Arabidopsis thaliana: one gene and its partners. The protein of the gene in region 3 interacts with the protein of the main gene of each other region in a pairwise test. Each region holds a gene or a part of one and is shown on either strand. Other genes may lie near its edges.

Evidence for each region.
Region 1: the proteins of AT3G48600 (region 3) and NST1 interact in a two-hybrid assay, tested with the Arabidopsis thaliana proteins (one large-scale study listed by BioGRID).
Region 2: the proteins of AT3G48600 (region 3) and MYB117 interact in a two-hybrid assay, tested with the Arabidopsis thaliana proteins (one large-scale study listed by BioGRID).

The regions. Positions count from the first base shown.
Region 1 is NC_003071.7:19,217,744-19,229,106, forward strand, and holds NST1 (NAC (No Apical Meristem) domain transcriptional regulator superfamily protein), read right to left. Parts: upstream 5,174-11,363; 5' UTR 5,080-5,173; coding exon 4,893-5,079; intron 4,582-4,892; coding exon 4,295-4,581; intron 3,798-4,294; coding exon 3,174-3,797; 3' UTR 2,982-3,173; downstream 1-2,981. Other genes in the region: AT2G46765 (uncharacterized protein), read left to right, coding at 2,597-2,821. UniProt on the Arabidopsis thaliana protein: Transcription activator of genes involved in biosynthesis of secondary walls.
Region 2 is NC_003070.9:9,265,258-9,276,049, reverse strand, and holds MYB117 (myb domain protein 117), read right to left. Parts: upstream 5,099-10,792; 5' UTR 5,018-5,098; coding exon 4,621-5,017; intron 4,368-4,620; coding exon 3,933-4,367; coding exon of another isoform or gene 3,922-3,932; intron 3,835-3,921; coding exon 3,587-3,834; 3' UTR 3,337-3,586; downstream 1-3,336. Other genes in the region: AT1G26790 (Dof-type zinc finger DNA-binding family protein), read left to right, coding at 946-1,110, 1,240-2,193. UniProt on the Arabidopsis thaliana protein: Probable transcription factor that involved in boundary specification, meristem initiation and maintenance, and organ patterning.
Region 3 is NC_003074.8:18,006,678-18,016,904, reverse strand, and holds AT3G48600 (SWIB complex BAF60b domain-containing protein), read left to right. Parts: upstream 1-5,464; 5' UTR 5,465-5,541; coding exon 5,542-5,760; intron 5,761-5,888; coding exon 5,889-6,218; intron 6,219-6,599; coding exon 6,600-6,737; 3' UTR 6,738-6,879; downstream 6,880-10,227. Other genes in the region: AT3G48620 (Outer membrane OMP85 family protein), read right to left, coding at 46-141, 214-283, 351-476, 633-730; NPC6 (non-specific phospholipase C6), read left to right, coding at 2,946-3,535, 3,713-4,215, 4,783-5,252; NF-YC1 (nuclear factor Y, subunit C1), read left to right, coding at 6,967-7,667, 8,009-8,012; XTH11 (xyloglucan endotransglucosylase/hydrolase 11), read right to left, coding at 8,564-8,915, 8,999-9,189, 9,291-9,391, 9,478-9,667.

The DNA of each region.
Region 1 (11,363 bases), on a different chromosome or scaffold from region 3:
ATTGAGTTGGCTATCTCTTTCTAATTATGATTTTAGTTTTTTTTTCTCCATAATCCTTGTGGGTTTGTTAGAGATAAGATATGTGTATGATTAATGGTGAGAAATTTAATAAAGGTAAAAAGAGCAAAATGGTTGAGCGATATAGACATCAAAGGACAGTGAATTAAAGGAGCATCAAAAAAAAATCCTAATATGCCTTGAGAGAATCATCCTCGAAACTCGTTAGTGTAAGATAAATAAGTAATAAAGTGAGGGAAAACGATGATGGACTTAGGTTAATTTTTGTCGGCAAATCCGTTCTCGTCGGACTTTATCTCCCTTGTGAAGCGGTTTTAGCTTTTGTGTAGTCACGATCGGAAAGAGATGGTGTGTTATAGTCTGAAGTATGCTAGTGTGTTTGCATATACATAATACATGCATGTATAATATGAAACTCCTAACTTTTTTATTCAAGTGACCTTTGATATTTTTAGTTATTTACAGAGTCTATACACCACGATTATTTATTTCAACAAGACAACAACAAATTTAACTTCTATATGTATATACTAATTAATACCGTGGACACGTGCATGGTAATTTTCGGTTCCATGAGATCAAGTTTCTTATTTATACAAATTAGGAAAAACAAATGTGAAGGTTTCACCCAGTACAAAAGTGATAACGTACGTAAAGTATTAGTGGCCTTTTAGTAGTACTACGTAGTTGAAAATTTCAGTCCTTATAATATGTCTTTTACTATAGTTAGTAACCCTTCGAATTTTAATCAATGACATGTTTATGTGTATATATTAATTATGGCGTTGAGGATGAATTGTCAATTTTTCGGGAAGGCATACTTGGATAATTGATCTCTCGACCCATACCTCAAAATTATCATTAGAAATTTTGTGACAAAATAGGGAAGTTTCATTAATTATCTAAGGGGGACAATCCCCATATTGTTTATCTCCAAATGTCGGGTTATAACTTATAATGACGTGTAGAATAAGTTCTTATTACAGATGGATAAGTTGAATTTTTACTCTAGATATATCGAAAAGATTATATGAAGTTTTACTAATAATCGGATGATCGTTATGACTCGAGCTTTTCACAGTAAATAAATATTTAAATATGTATCGCAGAAGAGAGTACTAGTCGTATTTATAGTCGGCTTGGAGCACATTTGTATAAATTATAAAACAATAGTATTATATAGATGAGCCCAATTTTCCACGTAAAATATATGACGAAAATTAACAAGAGACAAATAAACTAGTTTTTAAAAATCAAATATACCACAAGTATATATATGAAACCTTAAACTACCAATCTACCATAAACTTATAACTTACAAAGCTTCTTTACAAAATACTTTTCTATGATATTTTTAAAATAAATTCGAATTTTGATATGTAATACCAAAAAATCAAACAAACTAAAGATGGTACTTGAGAAGACGGGTATTTATTTGACCATAGAGAGTATCTCGTTTTCTCGGTCACTACAAACATATATATGTATGCTTTTAATATAAAGACTTCTTAATTTTTGTTTTTTTTTTGCATAATGGAAGACGAATTAAACTCGGATTGATTATTCTGATCAAGAAGAATTAAATGAAAATCCGAATTTGCTCAATTATGTAATTTTGACATGTTTTTTTTTTGTTGGTGCAAATGATACACATGTTTAAAGGGTACATAATTATAATCAATAAGAGAATATTAGGTTAGCTTATCTTTTTGTACTATATAACTCGATACTATGTTTGAGATTAATAGATTATGATTGATTTAGAATTTTTATTTATTTAAATAAGTGTACTATACGTCGTTTGTTTCTCCTTGAATAAGAACAATTGAAAGCATACTATTATGTCGACTGCTATTAATGATACTCAATCATAATCTATTAATCTCAAACATACAATTGACGACTAATAGTACTTAATTAAGATAACATAGTCCATCAATTTCTGTGCCTACTAAAACACATATTTTAATATGTATCTATGAAGATAATTAGTGTATTATAATATATGGCTAGAAAAGACACAATGTCTTGTATCAAAATTGTCTATCGCCTTTTGGTCGTAAAATATTATGTAGTTCTTGTAATTTTTAATTATATTTTCTAAATTATTTTCAAGATTATGGGCTTATAATTTTTTTTATTTTTTTTCACAGAAAATTAAAATTTTATTGATGGATTAGAACCTTACAAGAGTTGAATTATATAAGTTGGCAAGGGAAAACACTCCTTCCAAAGACTAAGCCGGCGAGCACAATACATCTCCCGGGAACTAAGATAGATCTAAAGGGGAAAAACCCAAATTAAATAACAACAATGATACTAAACCTAAACTTCCCAGATCCATTACTAAAAAACTCAAAACTGAAAAACAAAGTCTAAATCCAAAGTTATTTTAAAAAACAGATCTGAGACTAGAGATCTAACCAAAGAAAATAAAATCAAGACTCTCCTTACCACAAACGGCGGTGAGACATCAAACAACACCCCGAAACCCAAAGGACAAGGTCTCAAGAAGAAAGGAAGGAGAACTAGATCTTCAATGGAGAGAGATCTGCATCTGAGGCGATGAAAGATCGAAATGAACCTGCCTCTGCCATGGTTGGAACGGCCAGAACTGAAGCTGCAGACGAAGGAGACAAACAAGCAGCAAAACTGGAAGAGCAAAGGATTTAGACTTCACAGATCTAGATCTGTGAATTTAGAACAGAGACCGTTGGAAGAAAATAGGATTCAGATCACATTAAACCCACAAGAAAACGAAACTAAAGAGATTACAACAAAGAAATTCCGGTTTTGGTGCTGAAAAAGCCACCGGAACTGGAAACCCTAGGCGGGGCGGCGAAGCTTCTCGTAATATGTTTTTTTTTTCTTCTAGAAGGAAAACTATAAAATTAAATGGAAGACATTTTGATTATTATAATGAAATGTAATGCTCTCCCCAACAATAACGAAATATCTCCTTTTTGAGATCTTTATTCTCCTCTTTTAAATTCTTATATTAATCTATTTTACAATATTTCACATAACCACTGTAATTATCACAAATCTGACTTTCTTTTATATGTTTCAACAACTATATGGTATGATTATATCTTTTTACACAAATGTGAAATGTCTTATGTGTGTGTGCCTCTCTCTCTTTCCCTCCATTTCCGTTATCCACTACCATTCGACACGTGACAAAATGGGCCAGGCGATGACGATAGAGACGACGTCGTCGTATTCCATAGCTCCATCTCCGGTGTATATTCCTGTGTTAAACCGGCGTGGTACGAAGCGGACCGGTTTAGGCTGGGGTACGGAGATCGGACGGAAGGCAAAGCGAGATGATCATGGCCCACGTGGCTCTCATTGACGGCTGTAATTGAATATGATGTGGGTCCGTTAAGCTGCGAGGCCACGAGGCGGTCTAAAGCCGCCCAGCTAGTAACAAAGCTAGTGTCGACCACGTTGCTGACGTGGATATTATGATTAGTGTCGGGAGAGCTTACGTGGCAGTTGTTGATTGCCTGACTGTTAGGGCTTTCGAGGTTTGGGAGTTTCATGAAAGGGTCAAGATTTAGCTCTTCTTTACAAGATCTCCCCATAAGTTCAAGAAATTGGTCGAGAGTATCCTCGTTGAAGATCTGAGATGATGTCGTCTTCGGCGTATCTCCGCCGCCGCTCAGGGAAGCTCCTCCGACGGGACTGTTTAGGGTTTTGTGAAGATTCTTCTTCTTGAAAATACGACACACCACCCATCCTTCGTCTTGTGATGCTTCCCCTATAATACTCACGACCTTAAATATTCAAAAATCAACTAAGATATATTAGCAAAGTTCATGTTTTGCACTAATCCCATTTAGGTTAAAACCAAAAAGAAAAAGAAAATTCATATTTCAGTTTCATGTGCGTCTGTATATGACAAAGGAGAAAAGAAATATTTGTGGGAAGAAGTAACTAAAACTATTATCATTAAATATTGGGAATTTAAGAAAAAAATAATAACGAAAACGAATATGTGATAGTTTTCATAATGTTATTAAAGAAAATTACGATCATACTTTGCATAAATATTGTTTTTTAAAATATATTAATTACCTTTATATATATATTAATTACATGATATTTTTTACTTGTACATCTTATCATCAGTAACAACTTTTATAATGGTCAATGAAATAATAATTAATCAAAACAAAATCGAGATTGTGATGTAAAATGAGATATTCAAAAAAGAGACCAAATCCTTTGATTGAATAACTCGTATTTAGGTTATGATGGAATTAATACATACCTCATGAACGGTGACATCCTCGGGGGAAATAATGTTGTCATCGAGTCTATATTCATGCATGATCCAATCAGATTTTTGGCCGTGAGGAGCTCGGCCTTTGTAGAAAACAAGAGTCTTTCTCATCCCAATTCTACGGCCATTGCTATATATGATCTTGTCGCGGCCAGTTGCTTTCCAAAATCCAGCCGCAGTGGCTCTGTTAGTTCTCGTTCCCGTCGGATATTTTTTGTCCTTGTGGCTAAAGAAATACCAGTCGTTTTGTGGCGTTGTTCCTATTTTACACATCTCTGCATAACGACAAAAATAATCAGAAGAAAAAAACTTAAATAGTAAATTGTATAATAACCAAACCTATGTTGGTCTTTGCAGTAACTAACTCCGAATATGAACAAACAACATCAACAACTAAGTGTAGATTCTCTGTACTCTAGTCATATTCTCGTAAAAGGATACATGAGATCACGTCATGAATCGAAAGTAGTATAGACAAGACAGCACTTTCATATATATGGAAAAATTAATAAATTCGGAAAATTGGATTATGAGAGTGTGAAAGAGAGAAAATTAATTCATAAAAAATTTCTTTATGGAAATAAACCTTGAATGTCCCAAGGCTCGAGCTTGTTGAGATCAACGTCGCGAATGACATCAAGATCGATCTCGATGCTATTAACTTTCTTCCGGAGATAATACTGCAACAGCTCTTCCTCGGTCGGATGAAACCTAAACCCAGGAGGCACTTGAGATTGTCCGTTCACTGATATGCTCATAGATTTTGACATCATCAAAGAGATTCAAGATTAACTCAAAAATCAAGCAAGAATAGAGCATGTGAGGTTTATTTAATTGTAACTATATATCATACTGAAAGTTGGAGATGAGAGAGCTAGCAGAGAATGACTCAATATATATATATATATTGTTGTATAAAAACAAGATGCATGAGGAAAACGCATGTGTCTCCTTGTACACCTTTTTTTGTTTTTCTTAATTATTAAAATTCAACTCTTATCATTAGCTTTTCCATTTGTATTCATTATTTAGTTTGAAAATTAAAATATAACCCTCCAAGAGCAATATATTAATTTCACTTGTCAATTATTAATGATTATTATTCTCTTGTTCTTTTTTCACAATTATTAGTTTCAATTTTTTTTGGCGTCTAGTTTTAAATAGTTTTGCTATTTTATTGTCATTGTAATTAGTTTAGAAATTAAAACGTGGGCCTCACTATAGTGATTTAGTTACACTTATCTTTTACAAGAACTTAAAATCATCAAATGTGACAATATCAGGCATCGTAATTATTTGTGCTAATATCAATGACATAATATCACTTGGACTATTTCAAATACGTATAATGTATGTTGTTATACATTTTTTTTAGTCTTTTCAAAGTTTAGGTTTATCTTATTCATTAATTCTTTAAACTACTAAGAACCATCGTAAACAAAATAAGTAACTTTGTGTATCTTTACATTTGCAACGAGTAAAGAATTATTGTGAAGAAAAAAAGGAAAACATAAAAAAAGTGATATATAGTTGTCGGAGAAAAAAAAGGTGATGTAGTTATCAAAAGAAAAAGAGTAGGCCCCGTAAGGCAACTAGATTGTAGGAAGCAAGCCCACATCGAACGATGACCCTTGACCTTAAAAATCTCTATAGAAAAGCTCCCTTTAAACAAATTAACAACCCACACATCGTAATAGTAATAGATTGTCTTCTTCTCTCTTTTTCTCTTCTAATTCTTGATATTTATACAAATGATATCTCTCTTTATATGCACATGCACACTGTATTTACAAAATAAAGTCGAAATAGGGTGTCTTAAAAAGTTTCCCTCCGGAAGATGTGGCTTTTTTCATCGATAAATAAACGTTTACACTACAAAAGTTTTTTTTTTTTAAACGAAAAGGTTTGATCGTTACAAAAAAACTAGTTGATGTGACAAAGAGTGTTTTTTTTTGGGATGTGACGAAAATTTATAAAAATATATTAGTAATAATGTGTATATGTTATATATGGGAAATTGTCTTCGAAAGAAAGTGGGAAATAATGCCCCAAACGGTAGATATAGTTTGGTGTTCGAGAGATGATAGAGTTGGGTAATGAGTGTTCCTGTCCCGTCTGAAATAGGATTAACAATCGATTTCACTTTTCTTAGCTAATGAAAATCTCTAGAGTTATACGTTTATTTATTTTTCAAATCTTTGCTCGATCGTTCGAGATGATTTGTAGTATGGTTAGTGCAAAACGAATGAGCCTAATTAAGGGGTGCTGTTTTTATTTTTTTAAACATTTGGTTGTTACGTTCTGTTAGAGACACTATATAAAGGTGAGACGACAGAAAGGTAACGATGACGTCAAAAACCACATAGTTTTATCATTTAGACTGTGGAATTGTATGTGTAAGTACGTGTACTTGTGTAGAAACGTAATTAAGAAAACCAAAATTAATGGAGCTAAGGAGTGTTTATGTGGTTGGAACTAAGACTTTATTTAAGATTAGTTAAGAGGCCTTTCTGCATTTGTCTAAACACAGAATCATTTTGTTGCGTTTTCGGAATTCCATGCTTTTAATCATTATTTTTTTAGTTTGATTAATGACATTGCACCCAACTTTTTTTGTGTCTTAAGTCCATGTGTTTATTGGTTGCGCTATGAAAATCCAAAGTTTCTAAGTACTATATAAAACGGGAAAACTGTAGAAATTTACAGGTCATGATTCTTTCCAGTAGCCAGTACCATGCGTTTTCTAATATATTTTGTTTGATAAAAGTTGTTTCTATTTTAAACGTAACTTTTGATTATTAAATACGGAGATAAATAGATAAACTAGTACTCAGAAAGATATATTACTTGAAGAATACATTTTTTTTAGAAATTATGTATGTGTGATTTTTTTAATTAACGTTTGGTAAAAAATAAAGTATAAGAACTAAATAAAAGAAATTTGCGTTGTCTAAAATATTCTCACTCCTCTATTATTTGTGATAAATAAATTTATAATATAGTTGAATTTATAATTAAAAAGAAAAAGTAGGTTTGATTTCAGAATCTTCATTCTATTTTGGTAGAGTTTATGGATTTTTGTACATTCATATGTTTGATTGACAATATTTAGTACTCGTTTTTTTCATTGTGAAATTGTACGAATGTAACATTATCATCATGTCAACCCGAATCAATAGAGTTCAAAAGTAAAATTTAGCAAAATTTTAATGTTTTATGTACTCCATATATCTATTTTTTTTTCTTCCCAGTCTTGTGAAACCTTCATTGATTCTTAACAAAATTGATAACTTTATTTTTTTCTCAGTTGTGTTATAGTTTAACTCTTTATCCATATATAACAACAACACGTGATTTGATTAGCAATTTTAAATCAATGATTAAATAATAGTATATGACTTCGTTGAAATGTTTTAAGTTTCACAATAACCAAGAATAATTTCCAAGGTATATTATGCATTTTTATTCGTACTCTTCCATTTTTGGTCTTTCTATATAGTCTATATTCCATCAAGATGCATATACAGTATCTAATATAGGATTAAGTCTGGATGCTTGGCAAAAACAAAAATAAGGGTTTAAATCTGGATGCTGATCCAACTCTACAAACAAATAGTTCTTTACAAAAATTTTTGTTGGTAGAATTATTTAAATTTCTAATATATGCGTATCTTTAAGTAAGTTCTGAGGGCATTACTTATATATTGTTGGTGTTTTTTCCATGAGCACGTGAAGTATTGTAGGTTTCATTGATGCCTATGTCAATTATTAGTTTACAAAATGATGTCACAAAACTGTCACATGCATATATTAATATACATATCTGTACGTTCTCAACGCCGTGATATTTTTATTTATTCACTTGATTACACATTATTCTTTTCTACTATATTAAATCATATGCTAATTAACCTTAATATGTTAGGGATATATCTCATAGTGTAAATTGGTTATTATTTATTTTATTTTAAGAGTATTTGTTTTTCATGGTAAACGATACATTTGGTGATGGATAATAAGTAATGAAGGAAACTGATAGAAATTTTGTTTCTAAATAATAAAAACTTAAATTTGGAAACTCTCTAGAAGATGAAGAAAGTTTGCATGGGAAGCAATCTTAGTTTGGTGAATTTTCGTCAAAATATGTTAAGCCTTAATGGGTGAGACGTCATGACTCCACACTCCGTTTTCTTTAATGGCGAAGGGCAAGTCTGTAGTTCCATAGACTTTGGACCCTTTCACGATATCCACGTGTATTTTGTAATATTTCTCTTCTTTTAATGGTTTTGTAATTTGTTTAACATTTTTTAAGGAGTCTTTTTGCTAACGTCGATTTATATAACGTAGTACTAATACTTTCAAAAAAATTAAAACACATTTTTTAAAACAAAAAAAATTTCCTTAATAAAACTAAACTCGAAGTCTGGAACTAACACATTCAGACTCATAGTAGTTTGTCTCTAGACTCTAGTCGGACGTCGCCAAAGTTTGACTTCTTACATTATGCAAACCATATATGTGTTCAAATATTGATATTTGAAAGGATAGAGTATGATGTATATGACGCATTTCGTTTTATTTACATGATCACCCAATCGATGGTTACATAATTAAGATTTGTCCCTTCGTAATGATTGTGTCCCTATAAGCTGGCAATATATATATAGCAATCTTTTGTATAACTAGGTGTCCTAAACTAGAGCATAGCGGTCTGCTAATTTCGGCTAAGGCCTGAATCGTTAATGATGGAATCAGAATGTACATCTCATGGAAGTCGATATCGTTCAACTTATAGAGATAGGCACATGTTAGGTATCTGAATGCTTTAGTATCAAAATTAGAAGCTCTCTTCCATTGACTAATTTCGTAAAACATATATACGAAGCTATCAGAATCAATGTTTCATTGTACGGATTACTATGTTATGTATTAACAGTCAGTTACTATATTTAAGCAGATCATAAGAAATGAATAAATTTTCCAAATATATATATTTAATCAGCTAAACTGGTTAAAAAGAAACTGATTCAATACATAATAGATTTGAAGTCAGTTCAAATTACGTTAACGGAAGAGTGTGCTTTATGTTGCTGGTCTACTATATGTATACATTCCAAAGAAATGAAATTTCGCACAGTTCAAAACTTTATGAATCAAGCCATAAAATGTGACACTCCGTAAACTCCATTATATTACATATGAGATAGTGTGAATTCTGTATACATAGATTTACTGGGCTTTAGAAATGGATTTTAAGCCCACAAATAGTCTTGCTTCATTTCAAGAGGTGGCCAGTAGTAAAAAATAATAATATTAATTTTCCTTTTTGATAAAAATGATTTACTCTTTTCAATTAAAGTCCCATCTGCCAACGAAGATTCCACCACGTGGCAAAGGAAACGTTGACGGTCAAAATAACGGGAATCCGTATCATTCGCTGTCACGTTCATACGCCACGACCAATCAACAGCGTTTATAACGGATTTTCAGACTTTAAGGAAACAAAATCGCTGGACACGTCACGCGTCAATTTTTGTACTGTAATAAAAACATCACTCAGATCAATGATCCCATGCACGCGGGACCACGTACGCGTGATAAAGTCTTGTGATACACACCGTTGGATGATAAAGTGCAATCCATCTAACGGTGATTTTGTTCAAGTTGAGAATAAAATAAATATTTTAGTTAGAATACTTTTTAATACTATATAATAATATTGGGAAAGTGGCTGAGCATAAACATGTGCATGCCTGCCTGTATCTTGCAGCCTTCATGTGGATTTATCAGTGCGACACTATCCATCATCAAATAACTCATATCTACACTTTCTTTCTTATATATGTGAAATTTATACATTACATTTTGTAAAATAAATATTTATATTCCAAAAACAACGTAGTAGACGTGCCTCAAAATCAAAGAGATGTGGAACGGCTTTAGAAGCAAAATCCAAAATTGGAAAATAATGATAATTATTGCCACAAAATATTGATTACGAAGGTGATATATATATTAATCACTGATTGATGTTGTTAAGGAAAAGAATAAAGTTTTGGGCTACCAAATTTTCGAATGTTGAAATTGACTTTTACATCGTGATCTGACAAACGCATGTGTTGATTCAATTGTTCATAAATCACAATACTTCAAAATTTCAATACGTATATTTTTTCATTTCACTAATCACTAATACATTGGTACGTTTCTATAGATTTTGCCACTAGCAAGTTTTAGCAAAATCTGTTATCAGAATGCTTTAAGTTGAGAAAACTGCTAATGCTATTAAAAGAAACGGCTAATGATTGGTAGACGCATCGATCGATCATTCGTTGAGAGTTTTCAACAAGGTCTAAATAAACTATTTAAATAAAATATCATAGACTATAAAATGGAAACGAAAAAAAAGAGCATATATTTCCACAATTACCGTTAGTACTTAATAGTAGTAGTAGTAAACAGTGACACATGATACATTTTGACGGCTCTGATCGAATAAAAAAGAAAGTTGTACTAACAGACTTTATTAAAAGACAAGCTACAATGATTTTTTTTTTTTGTAAGGATAATATTTTTTTTTTATAAGAAAACTGAGAATAGGCAATTTCTGCAAATGTTTTGAGGAAGACAACCTGTCTTCTGTGTTAAAAACCAGGTCTGCCCTACATTTATAATTATTTCATTGTTTTTTTATAATAAAGGGTTTACAGTTAAAATTCAAAAATACAAAACATCCAAAAAATTCGAAAAAAGGAAAGATAGAATTTAGAAGATTGTGCCACAAAGTCAAGACCCACAAAAACATTTTTGTTTTGGGTTATGTACTGCACAAAAAAAAGTGTAAATAATTTAAAATAAACCCAAAATAAAATAAAATAGAGAAAAATTCAGCAGATTATTCTCTTCGATATGTATTAAAAAATTCTCACAGTTATTTTTATTAATGCTTGGAGACGAATGGTCAAAGTTTGGTTTTATTTTTTTGATAATAATGAAAGTTTAATTATCAAGAATTTTGCAGAAATCAAGAGAGAAGGTTGAAGACAGCGAAGCAAAT
Region 2 (10,792 bases), on a different chromosome or scaffold from region 3:
AATTATTTTGAAAAACTGTTAGAGCAAGATCTACCTTAAACCACAATTTATTGATTTCTTTTCTAGCAACAAAACGTCTTTTATCACTCTAAACCAGCTTCAAACACATCGTGCACAACAATGTGTTTGTATCTCACGATCACGCATGTGAGAAGCTAAATTACCAACGTTGTAAATTTTTCTCCTATTAGATAAATAATATAGAGTAAGAGTAAAAATAAATGGTCCAACATGGTAAACATAGCACTTTACCAAGATTTTAACCACCGCAATCTTGATATCATCTCGAGGAGAATGATGATTGTTGTCTCGTCGCTAGGGATGACAAGGAGAAAATAGTTATCGATATTTTAGTTATTTGTATAGAAATTAGTTTTTATAATCGATGTTTTGGTTATTCATATTGTAATATCTGATTTTGCTTACCCTAGCAACAATTTTTTTAGTAGTCAATATTTTGGTTATTCGTATAGAAACCAAAATATTTTGTACTCATTCACAAAACCACATTGGAACATCTGTAATATAGCATTTTGAACTGATGTATGGCAGCTGGCATTTTTGTAAATGTTTTCGCATTATTGTATTTCTAATTTTCTGTATGAATATTCCAAAAGAAGTTGTACATTTTAATGAGACGTGGCTGACAATAAAGGAGGCAAATCTTTTTAGTGGCACTGAAAGAGAGATCAAAAAGAGCATGAAAAGAGATAGCAAAAAGCCCACTTTTTTGCAACATGTGGCTCTCTCATCTCTTCATGTCCCTCTCTAAGCTGACGTGTAATTTCTCCATTTTCTCTGTCTTTATGGCTTGTGGCTCTGTGTGATCCGTTATTAATTTAATACCAACCTCAGCCTCTTATACATACTCTTGTCTCAGACCTCAAATAAAGAATAAACACATAACACAAATCTAATCTCATACTCCATCTTCTTTTCTGTCTTATGTCTTCAAAGATTGGTATGTCTCAAGTTAGAGATACTCCGGTTAAATTGTTTGGCTGGACAATTACACCGGTTTCTCATGATCCATACTCTTCTTCGTCCCATGTTCTTCCTGATTCTTCCTCGTCTTCCTCGTCTTCTTCTCTATCACTTCGACCACACATGGTATGTTTCATGGTCTTACCTTTATTTGTTAAGAAATGCTAAAGATTTAATATTTTCTCTAGTCCTTGTATCAGTTTGAAACTAGTTCATGATGTTAATCCTAATCCAAGTTCCTTCAATTTTTTTCAGATGAATAACCAATCTGTTACTGACAATACAAGTCTTAAGCTGTCATCTAATCTTAACAACGAGTCAAAAGAAACATCTGAGAACAGTGATGACCAACACAGCGAGATCACAACAATTACATCGGAAGAAGAGAAAACAACTGAACTGAAGAAACCAGACAAGATTCTTCCATGTCCGAGATGCAACAGCGCAGACACCAAATTCTGTTACTACAACAACTACAACGTTAACCAGCCACGTCACTTCTGTAGAAAATGCCAGAGGTATTGGACCGCTGGTGGATCCATGAGGATCGTCCCGGTTGGCTCAGGCCGTCGCAAGAACAAGGGATGGGTTTCTTCAGACCAGTACCTGCACATCACTTCCGAGGATACTGACAATTACAATAGCTCCTCAACAAAGATTCTAAGCTTCGAGTCTTCGGACTCTTTGGTAACTGAGAGGCCTAAGCATCAATCAAACGAAGTGAAGATAAACGCTGAACCTGTTTCACAAGAACCCAACAACTTCCAAGGGTTACTTCCTCCCCAAGCATCCCCTGTTTCGCCTCCTTGGCCTTACCAATACCCTCCAAACCCTAGTTTCTACCACATGCCCGTCTACTGGGGCTGCGCGATACCGGTTTGGTCTACCCTCGACACTTCTACATGTCTTGGGAAAAGGACAAGAGACGAAACTTCTCATGAAACTGTTAAAGAGAGTAAAAATGCTTTTGAGAGAACAAGCTTGCTTTTGGAATCTCAGAGCATCAAAAATGAAACAAGTATGGCTACAAATAACCATGTGTGGTATCCAGTACCGATGACCCGCGAGAAGACACAAGAATTCAGCTTTTTCAGTAATGGAGCTGAAACAAAGAGCAGCAACAACAGATTCGTCCCTGAAACGTATCTTAACCTGCAAGCAAACCCTGCAGCCATGGCAAGATCTATGAACTTCAGAGAGAGCATATAACGTTAAAGGAGAAAAGAAACTTTGTAGATACCTTTTTTTGTGTGATGAATTAACTTTTAATATCTATCTTATTTATATACCACAATCCCCATTTTGTAGATTATCCAAACAGATGGAAATGCTGAAGTGTAATGTCTTTTTTGGTAAATGTGGTTCGAAAATATTGTTTACTCCATTATTTGTATTTTGTAGTACTAGTGTATAAATTAATTGGAAAAAAAACATATGTGTGAATTTTCATGTAAAGGAGAAAAAGTAGAGAATCTTAACTTGGAGTCCTTGGTACAGAATCCATCTGATTGGTACAAACTAAAAGCTAAAGGAGAAACATAAAAGTCTCTTTCTTTGAAAATAAAATAAGTCTCTTCATTTGCGTATAAAGGGAAACAATAAGAAGAAAACACTTTAAGCACTTTTTTCCCCCTCTCTTTAAGCACTTTACTTTGGGAGAATTACTAAAATGAGTGGAAAAATGTTAATTAGTTTTAGAATAGTTTTTATCTTTTCGAAAATCACTTAATATTGACTTCACTCGGATGTTTGTTCCCAAAAAGAGAGACTCGAGAACATCTCCGAAATAGATTGGGCCTATTGAAGCAATTTCAGACCCAATGGGTAAATTAAAAATCTTCTCTACAACAACCTTTCAAAATCCGAAAAACCCATACATTTATCCACGTTATATATTATTTTAAAAACTCATATTCAAAACCAAAACTAATTTTTTTCCTTTTTTTTTAACCCAACCAAAACTATACAAAAGAACAATTCAATTTAAATTTTTCTTTTATATCTACAACATGGAAAGAATTACAAGAAAGAAGGGCATGTGTGGGTCCGCGTGACATGAGAGAGATACATAGGTAAGAAGCTTGAAGAGTTGGAAAAACGGTTTGAAGAGAAGAAACAAATGCAATGTGTGTGTGAGATTTGGTGAGCATGTTTCATGTTTGGCCTTTCTGTTGCACAATCTCTGCCTCAATTTTGGCAGTTCCTCTTCTCTTAATTACGCATCTTCGTCTCTTTCTCCAACTCCTAGAAACTCCACTCTTTTTAATTTCCCTTCTCTCTCTCTCTCTCTCGTTGTTATTCTCAACACGTCTTTAGCAATATTTCACGTCACTTCATCATAAAAGAATCAACTTTTTAAAACCAATCTCTCTTTGTTAAATATTTCTGAACGAGTACTACTAAAAACAATGACTTATCAAATGTTACACTAGACAACCAAGTGCCAACAACAACAATCTACAGTTTAGTAATTAACGTAAACGCAAGGACAAAGGCTAGGATCTGGTTTGTTTGTTTTCTAGCTACTAAAGCTAAATGCTATTTTTTTTGTAACCAAATTTAACCACTGTCGTTATCTGATTAACACCAATTTGTTCAACATTCACGCCGTCCCCAAGCCAAGAAAATCGAAAAAATGTGGTTGCTGCTTAGCCTTTTCGAACACCTCCTCATCTACCGCGTCCATTCCGATCCAATGCATTGCATCATTTGGCTCCGGTTTCTCTTGGTTACTAGGGTCAATGTGCGGAATATTGCATAACGCGTCTGACGTGGCACCAACGTTATCGCCGACCATCATTTGGTTGCCAAACATACTCACAACCATCGGAGGTTCATTGTTCTCATAACCTGAACGTTGTAGATATAACAAAAACCAAAAAAGAGTTCAAAATATGCAAAAGACAATTGAAAAAACTATTGAAAGAGGAGGAAGAGCTATAGGCTACCTTGAAAGCAATGGAAAGGCAACACAAGCTGGTTATGGTCACTCGTGATAGGGGCATTATTAACCAGGTGATGAGTCAAATTAAACTCGGGGAAAGGCTGAGCGAAGTAATGATTAGTGGAGATAAAAGAGTGGTAATTAGGGTTAGGGTTAGGATGATGATTATTGGTGAGGTGAGGTTTAAGTGGATTATTACTCATAAGCTTTCTCCTACGGTAAGCAGAAGAGTGTTCTCTATACTTACGAGCCATGACAACATGCCAATGGTTCTTCACTGAATTATCAGTTCTACCAGGGAAAAGCCTCGCAATCATTGCCCATTTGTTACCATAAAGCCTATGTGCTTGCATCAGCCTCTCCTCTTCTTCTTCTGTGAAAGCTCTTCGGTTTATCCTCGGGTCCAATTGGTTAAACCATCGTAGTCTACAGCTCTTCCCTTTAAAAACAATCAAGATTAAGTTAATAAAACTCAAAAAAAATTACGTTAGGACTTAGATTGGACATAGAAGGCTAAAGACCAAGAAAACTAATAAAAACAAAAATTGATTTTATCACCGGATCTTAAGAACTTGACAGATCCAGATGAATCAAACAAACTGGTTTTGATGAAATTTTGAAGATCTATAAGGTTTTGATTTAACTTGCTGTCAAAAGAAATAGAAAATAAATAAGGTTTTGATTTAACTTACCAGATCTTCCTTGAAGCTTTTCAGCTATGAGGTTCCAGTTTTGTGGGCCGTAAATGGAGACAAGCTCTTTGAGTTTAACATCTTCAGCTGGTCTCCAATGTCCTCTCCCCAAGACCGATGGTTTTGAAGACGACGAGGACCAAGACTGACCACTATCTGTTGTCTCCTTCTTACCACTCTCGCTGTTACTGAAATTAGGGTTATTATTATTACTCTCTTCTTCGTGAACCGCTACATCTCCAAGAGGACTCTTCAAGATTTCAAACTCATGACTTGTGTTGCAGTGACGATGATGATGCTGATGAATATTAATGTCGTTGAAAGGGAAGTCCCAAGAAGAAGAAGCTCTTCTTGCGACGATCTCATCCATCCACACTTGTTTTTCCGTTATAAACATGGAGTTAGTGTTGGGAGAAAGGAAGAAGAAGAGAAGTGTTATTGAGAATTAAGAGAGATGTCACGTCAGCTTATAGACATATACCATCGGAGGAGAAAGACTTATGTGAGTGCATTTGCATATTATATATACACGTACGTAAATGTGTGTCATAAATATTATTTTTTAAAAATAATAGAATATCTTTTGTATATAATGGTGTGTTTGTTACGTATGGCTTTAGGTATGTGCGTGTATGTACATGTCGCGACCGTGTTTTCTGACGACTGTTAAAAAGGGTTATGGACCGTCGTCACGGACTAATTCAAACGACAGAGTTCTTTGCATTTATACATTATTATATATATTACATATACACTACTGTAATAAGTAAGTACAAATGTGTATTATCGATATTCGATTTTGCTGTGGACTGTTATACATTTGTTCAGGTGTACCTAGTTTCATAGAAGTTAAAGAGTTTTTCTGATAAATCATTTATTAAATTTAAAAGTAACTAAGATTTGAAGACCAAGTTTTTTTCCATGTCCATAGATTGATAGTAATTGAAAAGTATGCAATAGTTTTATAGTCGTATTAGGGTTCATAATCAAACGATAACATTAATTACGCTGCTTCTCTATGGTTCCTTATACAAATTTCCTACTTTTATGAATAATTAATGTTTATCTTAGTTTGATGTATAAGATAGTATTTCCTCTTTTATTTAATGAAAACCAATGGATTATGACAAAATAAATTAATGTTGGGAGTGTCGACCTAAAAAACAATGAATGTAGAGAATATCTTGGACGAGTCCGAAATGAATCTTACCGTTATTAGGTGAAATTTATCCTCTATTAATCAATGCATGTTTTATAGGTGCAAGGTGAAAATAATAAAAGCTAATGAGATGAAAGAAAAAAAGCTGAAGCAGAACTAACTACCAAAAAAGGATGAAGGCAAAAAGAGAGTTTACCATTGGGGAATGAGTCGGGTCTCTTCTTAGCACAACCAATTCTCAGACAGCTTTTTCTTTCATTTCATTTTGGGTTCCTTAAAATTTACCTCTTTCTCTCTTAATCTCCACTTGTCTTTCATTCCTTTACTTTTTACTACCATTTTTGTTTCTGTGAAACCCTCTCTTATCTTAAAAAATTAACCACAATCTTTTTTCTTCATTCAATTTTTTTCTTAATTAAACATCGCTTCAATATACTCATTTTCTCCTTGTCATGTTGTATCAAATAATCTTGAAATTTTGACTGTTTTATTCTTTGTAGCAGTCTCATGGTTTTTAATAACGAGATATTACAATGCCAATTCAAAAAAACTCTCAACCCTAAATATCCCACATACATGAGGAATGTGGCCGTGTGGAAGTGTGTATAAGTAATGAGAATGAACAGTAAAAATGTAAAGAAATAACTTTTAAGACCTTTTCGTATTTGACCAGAAATCCCAATTGGCAGACGTAACCATTAAATATGGGATAAATACAGATACAAAAGGGGTCTCAGAACTGTACGATCCTCTGCACAGAGATTTAACCGAACGCACTACAAACTCTCTTTCTCTTCGTCATATTTTCTTTTTAATTGGTCAATCACTTTGAAATACACATTAATATTATATATGAAATATGAAATAAAAGGTTGGGTGAAGAAGTATATATGAACTATATAATTTTATGAAACAGAAAGTTATGCAGCTTTATTTAATTTTATATTTTGCAGAACAAACATTTATAAAAATTGTAATCAGTTTTTTTTTACCGTTTAAAATGAAATGATGAAATAAAATATGGTGAAACACACTATTAATTATGTTTGTTTGTAAGTAGAGCCACTAGCTAAAGTGGGACTTCGATTTGGTTGTTCTTTTGTTTTGGGCTATGAATCTATCTTGTTACTTTGTTTATATCCAGTAGACTAGTACTAGATTTTCGATTCTTTCGTCTAAAATACTAAGTTATTAAAAACATATGTTCTATTTACACATGGAATTATTTATAAACATGTTAAATATTTAAACATACCTTGAAAAGTAAGAAGAGAGTCTAACTTGGAAGATTAAAGGAGTTTGATGTTACTGCTTGATCGAGTGTAGTAGCTTGTTTTAGGGAGTGACTAACAGAATAAGCAACTAAATTACTCTGGAAACAGATGTATGTAAAGCTCATATAGTGAGGGGACAAAAATTATCTGAGGTATAAAATAGATTGCGATCTCATGGTCAATCCGTTTCGGTGGATATATTAGCTACGGTCCATGCGTGACTCAGTCCAAAATTGATTACAAGCTTGAACATACCTTTTTCAACATAGCATTAATATATACTTTTGTCAGTTTGTCACAAAAATACATCAAATGTGTAATAAGGAATCACTAAAACGTTGGAATTAATCCAAAGCTCAATTTTACTCGTCTGACATAATCTAATTTTTATTTTCTCGACCATTCTTTGACCCCATAGCCCATTTAAATTTCACCTAATTCACTTTTCTTGGAATTCTTTATGTCCGTCTACAAATTTTATCAACCTTAGTTATTCATGTGTTACAATGTCCCCTTGTACGATAATGTTTAATTTTGTTACACGTTTGGTCAGGTTTGTGTTTTACTCGAAAGAAAAGTTCGCTTTCAAATAGACTCTTTTCTGACGTGGCATCCATCTATATGTAATATGTTATGTGATTAGTGATCTTAGACTAAGAATAAAAAAGCAAAGAAATAAAATTACTTACATATGGGATCTTTTTTTATTGATTAACAAGAGTTTTTTTTCTTAGATATTTTAGATGTCCTCAATAATTAGTAGTCAATGCAAGTAAACATTGAGTTCTTTGAAAATTAAAATCCGTTTTAAATCAAGAATAAGGATTGGTAATGATAATGAGAGGTGGAGATGATGAACACGTGCACATTTAGAGTAACATAGGATCCAATTCAATTCAAAGGAGAAGTCTTTTCTCTTCAACTGTGATGCGTCCCCATGGTCCGATTTTGGCGTGTGATGTCGCACAACCATCACGTGTATTCTCCTTATCGTACTACACCCACGCACGATCACAATAAATCTATCGAACAATCACGAACACTTAGGGAATATACTTGCTTAGAAAAGAGAAAACTATAGAACAAAACAAAATCGAACTAGTTTGGATTTTGCCTATGTTGAGTTCGTAAAGTATTTAGACTAATATAAAACTAGAAGGTTACGTGTACAATGTTATAAATATTAGGATTACATCACCAAAATATATATGTCATTCAATGGATTTTTAAGACGCTAGCTATAAATAAATTAGCTATAGATATGCATTTCGTTTCACCCATGAGTTTAATTATAAATATTAACTTGTCAATTAATCAAATAATTTCAAATGCTAATCAATCACGTTATTTTGTGAACAACAAAGATCAATTACTTTATGCAAATCAAATAAAAAATTAATCGTCCTATCAACGAGATTTTTCAACTATTAAGATAACTAATGTTTTTATAAAATAACTGAAAATAAGAAGTATTAATTTTGTTCTACACATGCTTTTGCGAAAATTCAAAGTGTTTAACCAATAATCAGTTCAGATTCAATTAGGTCTGATTTGGTTTGAGTGTAAATATATTTTTGTAGTAATTAATGCAACAAGGTGCCGATTTGGTGATTAAAAAGAGGAGAAACTAGTGAGGAAACAGAAGTGAACAAGAAAGTGAAAGAAAGTGAGAGTAATGAAAGGAAGTGGAGAGACAGAGAGGATAAATGGTGGGAACAGATCACGAAGACACACACAAACTCATACTGTTTTTGGAGTTTCCAAAAAGAGATGACGTGAAAGGTAACCAAACAGTAAAGTCTATCTCTCTCAATTTTCAAAGATGAATGAATCAATGACCCATCTAATCTCATAGCCTCCTTTGCCCCTATATCTATTTTCACATCCACCAATAAAGTTTGTCTTAAATTCTACCCTCTTTTCTTAACCTCATTCGTATTTTTGGTTACAATCACACTACTTCTTTGTTTCTATAACCGGAGTTAGTTCAACAAAATTCTTAACTTAACCGGTCCCTTCAACTAATTAGGGGTTTCAATTCTTGGGGCATGTTTTAGTGTTTTCATGTATATATTTTAAAACTTACATGTTTTTAACGGAAATTTTTTTCTAAGTTTACAAAGAAAATTAACAGTGAATAAGATTTAATATTTTGGTCAACAGTCGGTTCTAACCAATTTTATATGAAGGTGGGGAATATGACCCGACCTGAGATCATGCCTATAAATTAAGGCTCTGTTGAACTTGGTACGAAATTTTCTGTGTGTATATATTATAAAATTATATGGAAGGACAATAATGAAGAAAACATTGAGGGTAAAAATAAAATTTGAAAAGTTAAATTATTTATTGAAGAATAAAAACGAAGGAATGTGACAAGTAGTGGGGCGTAAGGGAGCAGCAGAAGACAAAGGCTAATCCATGAGATTCTGTTAGGTGTGTTCCCTTGACAGAGCCATGTTTTGAATCCTTTCTTTGCTCTAATTAAAATTCATAACCCTACCAATTAATTTCGACATCCAACTCATGGGTTCGTCTAAATTTGTCTTCATTTTCTATTGCATGAAATGTTTTTGTCTGAGCGGTTTAATTATGAAGATGAGAAAATTTAGTTGTTACGAATAGTCATGGCGGTATTTGAAACAATAGTGATCTGATTTTATTATATTTTTGAATAATTTTATTTTAGCTATTTGAGTAGTAGAAAATATTCTGCTACGGCGCAACAAGACTTACGTAATCAGTTGGAAAAGAAAAATGACTTACGTAATCAAAGGTTATATTCTAGAGATCGAATATTTATTATTGTGTCACCACGGAAAGAAATTAAAACCTCAATTCAAATTGGTCTTCTTCGTCAAGGTATCTTTTCAAGTGTCAATATTGATTTCTTCTGAATAACAGGTCAATCCTCAATGTGGATCTTAAGAGGTAATGCCAGAAATCCAATATTGTTGATATGCAATATATATAATTAAACTTTATTGTACAAAATTATAATTTTTTATCACTTATTTTTTGTTTCCCTTAAACGTGTAATTTTTTTAGTATCAAATTTAATTGATAGCACAATATGAAGCGTTTGGAGTTTCAAACTGCTATATAGGAGACTAATTGTTCAGAGTGAAATAATATAGTACATAAGAAAAGCAGGGAAAGTTTGCATAGAAATTAAAAGAAGGTATATATTGGAGCGGAGAAGGCTGAACAATGGAAAGTATTATACATAATATATAGGCTATACATGAAGATGTTTTAACGATGGAGAGTCTTCTAACGATCAAGATTTCTAGTATTGTGTCAAACGGTCTTGTTGCTTTAATTAGAGATGTAATGGCGTACAATTATACGTACACATTAGTTCTCTTGTTTGATGTATAACATATAATAGTAATGTTAGTCGTTAGATTTGTGATGCATGTCATATGGGTATGGAGGCTGTCTTAACCGAAGTCCGTTAAGAGTGTCGCAATTAAAGGAATTAAAGAAAGGACAAAAAAGTACTCTTTGCATGATAATATTTGTTAAATCTTTGAAAAGTAATGGGTGTAAGTATGGGTAAGAATAAGATGTCAGAAAGCTAATGCTAAGACCCACTTCTTATTGTTTAAAGGACACTTACCTGCCCCACCCTCACATGCTTTAATGCTCCGATCCCTTCTTCTTCGATCTGTTCAACGCAAGGAAACATAATCTAACACGAATTGGCTAACGTTCACATTATCATATGTCTATAATA
Region 3 (10,227 bases):
GGCCGTGTGGTTTTCCTAGGCTAGAAACAGAAATGAGTCTCTTACATGAGAAAGACCTTGGTCAGTAGCCTTTGCAAACCGGGATTCTTGCTTTAAAACTACCATACTGTCATGGGTATTTCCACTGCATAGCAGAGAATTCTACACATGTAAATATCAGTTTTATGCTAGAGCTTAAGGAAACAAATTAAGGGAAGCGAGATCCAATATCACCTGCATGTTATAGGAAATCCGTCCAGATCTCTGATATCGCCCGTCCGTCATCGTTAATCGGACGCACATGCTGCACCAATGGAAAATAATACTCTTTTTCACCAAAGCAAAAAACAGCAAAGAGAAAAATATTGTACTACAATGTCTGAAGAAGGTAATGTCCGGGTACCTCAAACTTTACGCTGGTTGTGCTGCTCCATTTTGAACTCGCTGGCTCACTCAAGTCTAAACCAACAGCCAATTTAGAAAGATTTACACCTCCACTCCCTGACCGAGAAAAGTTGTCAACTGGGGTGCCATGAACCCCTATCTCTGGCGAAAGAGAATGCTGTACCAGGTTGAAAAAAATTGAATGTATTTAACATAGCATAATTTGGAAAATTCACTTTCTAAGATAGCTTCACCGATCAGTTGAGTACCTGTATGAAGAAGCACTGTTGCGGACGCCATTCAGGTCTAGGTCTCCTAAAAGCCACCAGTACATTGGAATCATACAACCCTTTATCCCATGAAACATCAAGCTTCTCGCTTCCTCGAAACAAATTTGGATGTTTGATACAGAGGCTGCAACAAACAGACCCAAATGAACACTCAAACAGAAAAGAAAGATATGACCATTTCAGTTCTGCAGATTATATGAACACCAACACTATTAAGTCACAAAACTTGCCTGCCAATCACTAAAGAAAGAGGACTGCTAGTGACTGAATATGTGTTTCATATGGTGGCGGCGTGGCGCCTCCAGCAAATATAATTGCTTCTTCGATTGCTAAATGCAGTGGCGTAGCCAAATTCACTATGTTCTTTTTGTTAAAAAAAGTTTAGCTCCGAAGATGTGAACGCTGATCATAATGCAAATCATAAACTTAGCAAAAAAAAAAAAGTTATAATATACCTTCGATTCAAAACCTTTGTAATTCAGTACTATGGGTGAGAGAGATTAAATATATTTTTAGAATGGGTTAGAAGACAAACTTAAAAAGCTTATGTTCAATTGACAAATATATACTATGAATGTGTTCACACGACCAAATCTAGTTGGTTGCATGAGGTATCAGTTCACTTACTCACGAGCCCAGTGGTGAACTTGTGGTGGGGGGCGATTCTTTCCAGTCTCTTGTTTTTGTCTTCTATTTTTTTGGCTTCACTCTTTTTCTTGATATCATTTTTCCTACACATTTTTCCTTTTGTTTTGTAATAAGGTCTTGATTAAGAGCGAAGAAATGAAATTGTTCCTCAACATCTTTCTAATGCGTTTTTACGTAATTATTTAATTTACAAAAAATTCGAAATAATTTCGTTATTCCGTTGTTTTGTGAATCACAAAATAAACTATATATGGTAAACTAACAATTTTTAGAGCATGCACATAGTTGATACACTATGAGTATCATTAACAATATTTTAATATTAATTTTAATGTTTATTTATTATTTGAGATTTTTTATGATACTGGTAATAAATTGTTTCCAGTGGTGATACCGATATTGGTATCATTAAAAAAAAAAATATTTGCAAAATCAAAAAATAAATTTATAAAAATATAGAGTTACAAAATTACTGTAAAATTATGTCGCATAATCACGAAAAGTTGGCAAAATTACTCACTTGCGGAAAATGTAGCTACTTAGCTAAAACAGTAGAAAGACTATCGGAGAGAAAAATGTTTTTTTTTTTCCAGAAAAAAACGAATTTCACAGACGAATCATAAGCCTCCACGTCATCCGATACTGGGTATCAAAAGAATCACTGCACTGATACAGTATCAGGCCTAAATCTATTGTTTGATATATTAAAAATTATTTTGTGACTCTTGATACTCTAATTATATCACCTATGTACATGGTCTAAAAACACTAAACTTGAGGCAGAAAAACTAAAAATACTAAAGAAATTTGGAGAATGAAAAAGCACTAAGCATTGGTTCTTCCTTTAACTCCCAAATTCCAATTATTTTTTCCTAATGGAAGATCAGTGGGGCACCTTAGACAAAAGTAACTACCATGATGATGATTTATTGTTCAATTATTTTAAGTATATTAATACTACTTTCCGATACTCTTGGTACAGAGAATTTATACAATACTCCTTAAAAAAAACTCAGATATAAAGTTATAAACATTTGTATGGATTGTGGATCCAATTTATGTTTTTAAAGTTATGATATACATTTGTCAAGATCTCTCACAACTAGTAAACTATTTAGAACTCTAGGAATCCACTTGTAACACTAAAATCTACAAGAAAACAACATCAACCCTGAGGTCATCTACGTGGTTTTCTCAAGACCAACTCTTCACGACTTCACGTGCATATATATTTCCAAGTTTTATAATATAGCTACAAATAATAAAATCAGCCAAAATTCAAGAATTTCATTGACCGAGTAAATCTCTGCGTTTTTAGTTACTTTTTCTCAGTGAGAACAGAATCTTCTTCTACATATCGAGCCCACCTAAATCAAAGCAGTAGTAGTGGAAACAAATAAAGCAGTAAATAGACACCACAGCTTTTTTGTTCTTGCTCTCTACACTTCACATTTACCCAAAATCTTTATAATACTATATATTTAAAACTTTTTATCTTTTTGTATTTTGGTTACAAAGAGACAATTATCTCTCCACTGTCTTTATGTTCTTCTTTCATGTAACCAATCTAAGGCAAAACAAAACCACAGACACAAATTCTACACCAAAAGCTTAACCAGATTTTTCCCAAGAAAAAACCCATCCATGAAACCATCATCAGCTTCAAGATTTTCTTTAACTTTCTCACACTTTCTCACACTCTACTGTCTTCTCACACAAACACATGTAGCTCAAGGATCTCATCAATGGCAATCACCAATCAAAACCGTCGTCGTTTTAGTGTTGGAGAATCGATCTTTCGATCATCTCTTAGGATGGATGAAGAACTCAGTAAACCCGACAATAAACGGTGTAACGGGTCAAGAATGTAACCCGGTTCCGAATTCTACACAAACTATATGTTTCACTAGTGATGCTGAGTTTGTGGATCCGGATCCGGGTCATTCGTTTGAAGCTGTTGAGCAACAAGTATTCGGGTCTGGGCCGGGTCAGATCCCGTCCATGATGGGTTTCGTTGAGCAAGCGCTTTCCATGCCGGGAAATTTGTCGGAGACTGTAATGAAAGGCTTTAGGCCTGAAGCTGTTCCGGTTTATGCTGAGCTGGTTAAGGAATTCGCTGTGTTCGACCGGTGGTTTTCTTCAATTCCCGGTCCGACTCAACCAAACCGGTTATTTGTCTATTCGGCTACCTCACATGGTTCCACTAGCCATGTCAAGAAACAACTCGCTCAAGGGTAACATTATCAAATTCTTTCTTTAAATTATTATTTTCATTAGTCCTTGTTAATTTTCATTAGTTTAATTTCACACTTGATTACTGAATTTTTAAGATTAGTTTCCATAGAAAATATTGAGATAATATAAACTATTATAAAATTTTGCATAGTTATGTATTCATCATTTAATTTCAGGTATCCACAGAAGACGATATTTGATTCGCTTCATAGCAACGACATCGACTTCGGAATATACTTTCAGAATATTCCGACCACATTATTCTACCGTAATCTCCGACAGCTAAAGTACATTTTCAATTTGCATCAATACGATTTGAAATTCAAGAAAGACGCGGCCAAAGGAAAGTTACCGAGCTTAACCGTAATCGAACCGAGGTATTTCGATCTCAAAGGTTTACCGGCTAACGATGATCACCCGTCGCATGACGTGGCTAACGGTCAAAAGCTGGTTAAAGAAGTGTACGAGGCACTTAGGTCGAGTCCACAGTGGAACGAGACGCTCCTAGTTATAACCTATGATGAGCATGGTGGGTTCTATGATCACGTCAAGACTCCTTATGTCGGTATACCAAATCCCGATGGGAATACTGGACCGGCTCCTGGTTTCTTTAAATTCGACCGGTTAGGTGTTCGTGTTCCTACCATTATGGTTTCGCCTTGGATTCAAAAAGGAACCGGTTAGTTCTCTTTTTCTCTATTATAATTTTACAAATTTGTTCTTAGTGTGCATTGCTTTTTAGTAGAATCCTCAAGCTTTTTTCCAAATTAACAAGAACACTCCGCTTTTGAACTTGATATATAAATAGTTTTGAAACTACTGACCAAAAAACTTATATGTAGTATTTATGCCTATTTAACGTACTATTTTTTTCACTTATGAATTATTAATATTGAAACTATTCATTTCTTTAACCCAAAAAAAGAAATTCATTTGTATTTCATGTATTTCCACTTTCTACTACTATTTCCGACAGATTTTTGACATTTGCTAACAAAATTTAAGGCTGCAAAAACCAAATCACATGGATGGCATTTGACAACTATAAGATTGTATTCATTAATAATGGTGGAGAAAATAATTGAATCCATTGATTATGCCATTGAAAGATGGAGTATATTATAATTTGTCGGCGTCGTTGCGTGACTCATGTTTTTCAACCATCCTTTGACCCCATTTGATTTTAATATTTTTTTACTATATATAGTTTAATAACATCTTATTTTATTATATGTTTTGAATGAAGTCGTAAGTGAAGCAAAAGGACCAACAGAGAGCTCAGAGTACGAGCATTCATCAATACCAGCGACAATCAAGAAACTCTTCAATCTCTCTTCCAATTTCTTAACACATAGAGATGCATGGGCTGCTACTTTCGAAGACGTTGTATCTCACTTAACCACTCCTCGAACCGATTGTCCCATGACTCTACCTGAAGTTGCACCTATGAGAGCCACTGAGCCTAAAGAAGACGCTGCTCTTTCTGAGTTTCAAGGTGAAGTGGTTCAGCTTGCAGCGGTTCTCAATGGTGATCACTTCCTCAGTAGCTTCCCGGAAGAAATTGGAAAGAAGATGACTGTGAAACAAGCTCATGAGTATGTCAAAGGAGCTACTTCTCGGTTCATTAGAGCTAGTAAAGAGGCAATGAAGCTTGGTGCCGATAAATCTGCTATTGTCGATATGCGATCTTCGCTCACTACACGGCCACACAACTGATTAAAAATCTTGTTTGCATTCGTCTTCCTATGTTTTGATCTGAAAATGTGTGATTTTATGTATGGAAACTAGAATTGAGGAACAAAGAAATAGACAAAATTCATTGTTAATGTTAGTGATATGTTGAGCAATCGAAAGATCTTCATAAACTCCCAATATAACTGAAGCCCAATTAGGCCCATATATAAATATTCAACAAGGCCCAAAATGAGTTGCATCAATTTCTTTAGTTGGAGACTTTTCTTCAATTGTTTATTGTTAGGGGCAGTGGAGTGAAGGAGAAACAACAATGTCGCCAATTTCTAAGATTCTAGGAGGATGCAGGACACTGATGGCGAAGGCGGTGACTAATGCGACGGCTACCGGCGCCGGCGTTGATAGAAGAGGAGGAATTCATAAGATTTTTCCAGTCTCAGAGTCGCTGGCTAGATTCGTCGGCCAAAGCGAAGTCTCTTTTTCCACCGCCATGGAGAAAGTGGAGCAGTATACCGATGATCACAATCTTTGGGTTAGGGATTTCGAAACTCTTCTCCAGTTTCCTTTCATTCTACTTTTTTTTTTGGTGATTTCTAGGTCTTTTGATCTGATTCTTTCTGTTGGAGCAATGTATCTGATTTATAGGTCTTTGATTTGTAGAATCCGGAGAATATAGAGGAGATACTGTGCGATGATAACTTGAAGACGATTTTCGATGGCCAAGACAAAGTCGTCGGAGTCAGAGAGATGACGGAGCTTTTGTTGCGACATTTTCCTAACGTTAGAACTATGTCGGCGAAGGTGAAGGCTACCGGTGGAGGTACTATAGAAAAATGGGGGTTCAATGATATTGTGAAAGTCTCAGAGCCGCTGGCTAGATTCGTCGGCCAAAGCGAAATCTCTTTTGACGCCGCCTTGAGAAAATTGCTAGATTATGCCTTTGATCACAAGCTCGTAGATGAGGGTGTTACTCTGCTCGAGTTTCCTTGGGTTAGCTTTTTTACTTTCCTTATGATCTCCTCTTTACATGTTTATGCATTTAGGGATTGGAGTCTCTAGAGACTGGAGAATGGTAGTGATTTGATTCTTGTGTTGGTCATTATTGGAGTAATTGACATCTACGCTGAAAATGTTGTTTACTCACTTGAATGTTTTGGTTTTGTTTGTGGAAATGGTCTTTTCTGATTGCATATTTTGAAAACTTAGCTTGTCAATTCATACACTGTCAGATGAAGAATTCACCAGTTACGAATATAGAGTGTCTTTAGGTGGCTTTGGACCTTGTGCTTGCTTCTCTGTTTGGTGGTCATAGATTGCATTTTCATGTTTAGAGATTATGATTTGTTTAGAGCTCACTTGTTTCATTTGTAGATTACGAAGTGTAGTAAATGGCGGATACGATGCGATGATACCTTGAAGACGATACTCGATGGCAAAGACAAAGTCGGAAATAAAGAGCTCTCTTCACTCTTGATGCAACATTTTCCTGACAGCTCTCTTCACTCTTGATGTTTTCTTTTGGTTCATTTCGGATGCATATGAACTTTGGTACGTGTAAAAAAAAAACAAAATTTAACTTGAAATAGAAAATAGAAAAAAATTAATTTAGGAAATAGAAAAAAAAGAGAGAAAATCATCAGCTACATCGCTGTCCACCTTATCCACTTGTACCCCAATCCCTTTGGCAAAAACTTGTCACGACCTTTTTGATCCAAAAATCAAAATCCAAAACCGACCAATGGATACCAACAACCAGCAACCACCTCCCTCCGCCGCCGGAATCCCTCCTCCACCACCTGGAACCACCATCTCCGCCGCAGGAGGAGGAGCTTCTTACCACCACCTTCTCCAACAACAACAACAACAGCTCCAACTATTCTGGACCTACCAACGCCAAGAGATCGAACAAGTTAACGATTTCAAAAACCATCAGCTTCCACTAGCTAGGATAAAAAAGATCATGAAAGCCGATGAAGATGTTCGTATGATCTCCGCAGAAGCACCGATTCTCTTCGCGAAAGCTTGTGAGCTTTTCATTCTCGAGCTCACGATCAGATCTTGGCTTCACGCTGAGGAGAATAAACGTCGTACGCTTCAGAAAAACGATATCGCTGCTGCGATTACTAGGACTGATATCTTCGATTTCCTTGTTGATATTGTTCCTAGAGATGAGATTAAGGACGAAGCCGCAGTCCTCGGTGGTGGAATGGTGGTGGCTCCTACCGCGAGCGGCGTGCCTTACTATTATCCGCCGATGGGACAACCAGCTGGTCCTGGAGGGATGATGATTGGGAGACCAGCTATGGATCCGAATGGTGTTTATGTCCAGCCTCCGTCTCAGGCGTGGCAGAGTGTTTGGCAGACTTCGACGGGGACGGGAGATGATGTCTCTTATGGTAGTGGTGGAAGTTCCGGTCAAGGGAATCTCGACGGCCAAGGGTAAAGTTTCATTTTCTGTGCAATGTGATATACATTGATTGATTACATGATCGTCTAGGGTTTTAGGAGATGGAATGATAAACAATCTCTAAGTCTGGTTTGTTTGGGATATAATCATGTTAGTCCAAGATTTCTCTGTTTATTAAGGTTTTAGGATTTGGAATGATAAACAATCTCTAATCCTGTAATCATCAAGATTTGAAAATTGTTTTCATATCGCAATTTGCAAACATTGCTATATCAAACAACTAGATTCTCTTGCTCTTCTGCTGAATCTGAATGAATCAATGAACTATGGCTCCTTAAACTTACCTTTCAATGTTTTGGTATCATTTTTGCAGTTAAGCTCAGAGTATTCCAGATGATGCTTGACCTGCTTGAAGATAGCAGATATTAGTCGACCTCGCCTTGAATTTTGGATGTGTTTGATAGATTATGCCTAAATTCAATGAAAAGGCTTCGTTAAAGAAGAGTAAAAAAAACTCTTGTTTCTCTCTGTTAACGTATATGTTATTGTAGCAAAACCATCATTGCTGCGACTTAGCCTAACTATATATAATCTAATGTGCAGTTTCTATTGTATGCTTCTTTCCGATTTTTTCTCATATTTGACTTATCTTGATGTCTGAGAAAATGCAGTCTTGTAACCTGTAAGGTTCTTTTCAGAGGTTTCAGTGCTTGTAAACCTCAAGCAAACCCGATCTGAACCAACTTGGTTCTGTGTAAATAGGTATCTGTATATGAACTCGTGACATAGTAATGTATCTAGCATTGATGACAATAATGTTGTTATTTGATAGAAAAGGCTTATCATAAAGCATCTTACAGTAACATAAGTTATTTTTTCAAGATAATTGTTTTGTAGGCTTAACCCTGTGACAGGTATTGATCTTTCTCTAAGTGTAACTTCCACATTCTTGAGGCACCTTTGGATATCGCTGTCTGTCAGAACAATAGTCATAATCCAGGTACGTCTTCCTTGCGTTTAGGTACAGTGTCTTCTCTTTAGAGCTTAGCTGTTTGCGATTCCACCAGAACTTAGGATCAGTGCATTTATCTATTCCCATGAACTCAGTCTTACACCCTTCAATCTTTGATGCCTGGAACTTAGCAATGTAAGGCATCTGCTTCGGGTCAATTATCGATCCGTTTTGCACACTTCCCATTAGGAACATTGTCTGCACCGATGGGTAGTAAACATCTGGATTCTTGCTGTACACCCTGATCGGTGTATCGTCAACATAAAACCTGAAAATGTGGAAATACATTTTCTTTTTGTTACTGATGTTAATCAATGGATGATCTGATAAAAAGTGTTATATGATACTCACACAAGTTGATTAGGGTTCCAAAGAAAACTGTAGGAATGGTAATCTTTTGTTGGATCAAACCAGAGACGAAACCTCTGATCTTTGCCTCCTTCACCGTACAGATACATATTCGTATTCAGCAAATACGGTGGCCCATTCTTTCCCAAGATCTGGAAACAGAGCTCATCATGGCGGCTTGAACGGGAGATTAACTGCCGTATAGCAGAAAAACAGATTTCAAAAAGCTATTCAGGTACGTAATCTCATCATCTTTATTTTTAGACAAACTTAAGTTTACTGGTCATTCACGTACATAGAAGGAAGTAATGACTCCCGTAGACGTAGTTTGAGGTGCCTTGATTCTTACGTTGAAGTATCCTGATCCGTAAATCAATTGGGATTCAAACCCGGACCCTGTAAGGAACATAGACCAATCACAATCATCGACTAGACACAAACACACAGACACATGTAGACAGAGAGAAAGAGAGATAGAAAACCAGAGTTTTTATCGAGGGTGAGCTGGAGCTCAGAGGTTTTATTAATAACCAAAGCTTGATGTCCCCATGTCTGGTAGTAATTGTTACCCCATGTCACGAATCCAGTAGTCTCTTCTTGGCCTTGAGCCGCAGCTACAACTGCTACAACCACCATAACCATCAGTAGAATCTTCTGATCAGATCCTCTCATCTTGATCTCTCTATCTCTATCTCTCGTTGCTTCTCCCTCACTTTACTTAATCACATTAGAACACGACTCTCTTGGGCTATGTTATATAGGCTTAGAGCAGCCACGTACGTTACGTTGTATTTTTTCACCAAATAGTCTATATTCACTGCATCATCCTAAAATCCTATTCAATTAATTAAAAAGTTTTGAGTTTAATCCATCTAAATTTTGAGATTAAGTTTGTTTTTAGTGTAGTGAAAGCTGTTTCCAACTCGTTTCAACGCATCAAATATTGCAGCTCAAAAAGCTTTACTATTTTTCACGATTTCAATACTTTTGTTTGTTAGCTTACAAAGTTTTCCATACAAAGTAAACTCTAAAAAGGGGAAGTATAAAGTCATTAGGTTTAGATGTTCCAAACTTTTATTCTGCTAATCATTGATAATGTGTTTGAATTCCTAGTTATTATTCTCTGTCCCATTTTATTAGATGTTTTGGCTATAAACATAAATTTAAGAAGTAATAAAAAAAAAATCTTTTATAGATTTTAACCAATAGAAAAAATAATACACAATTTGAAT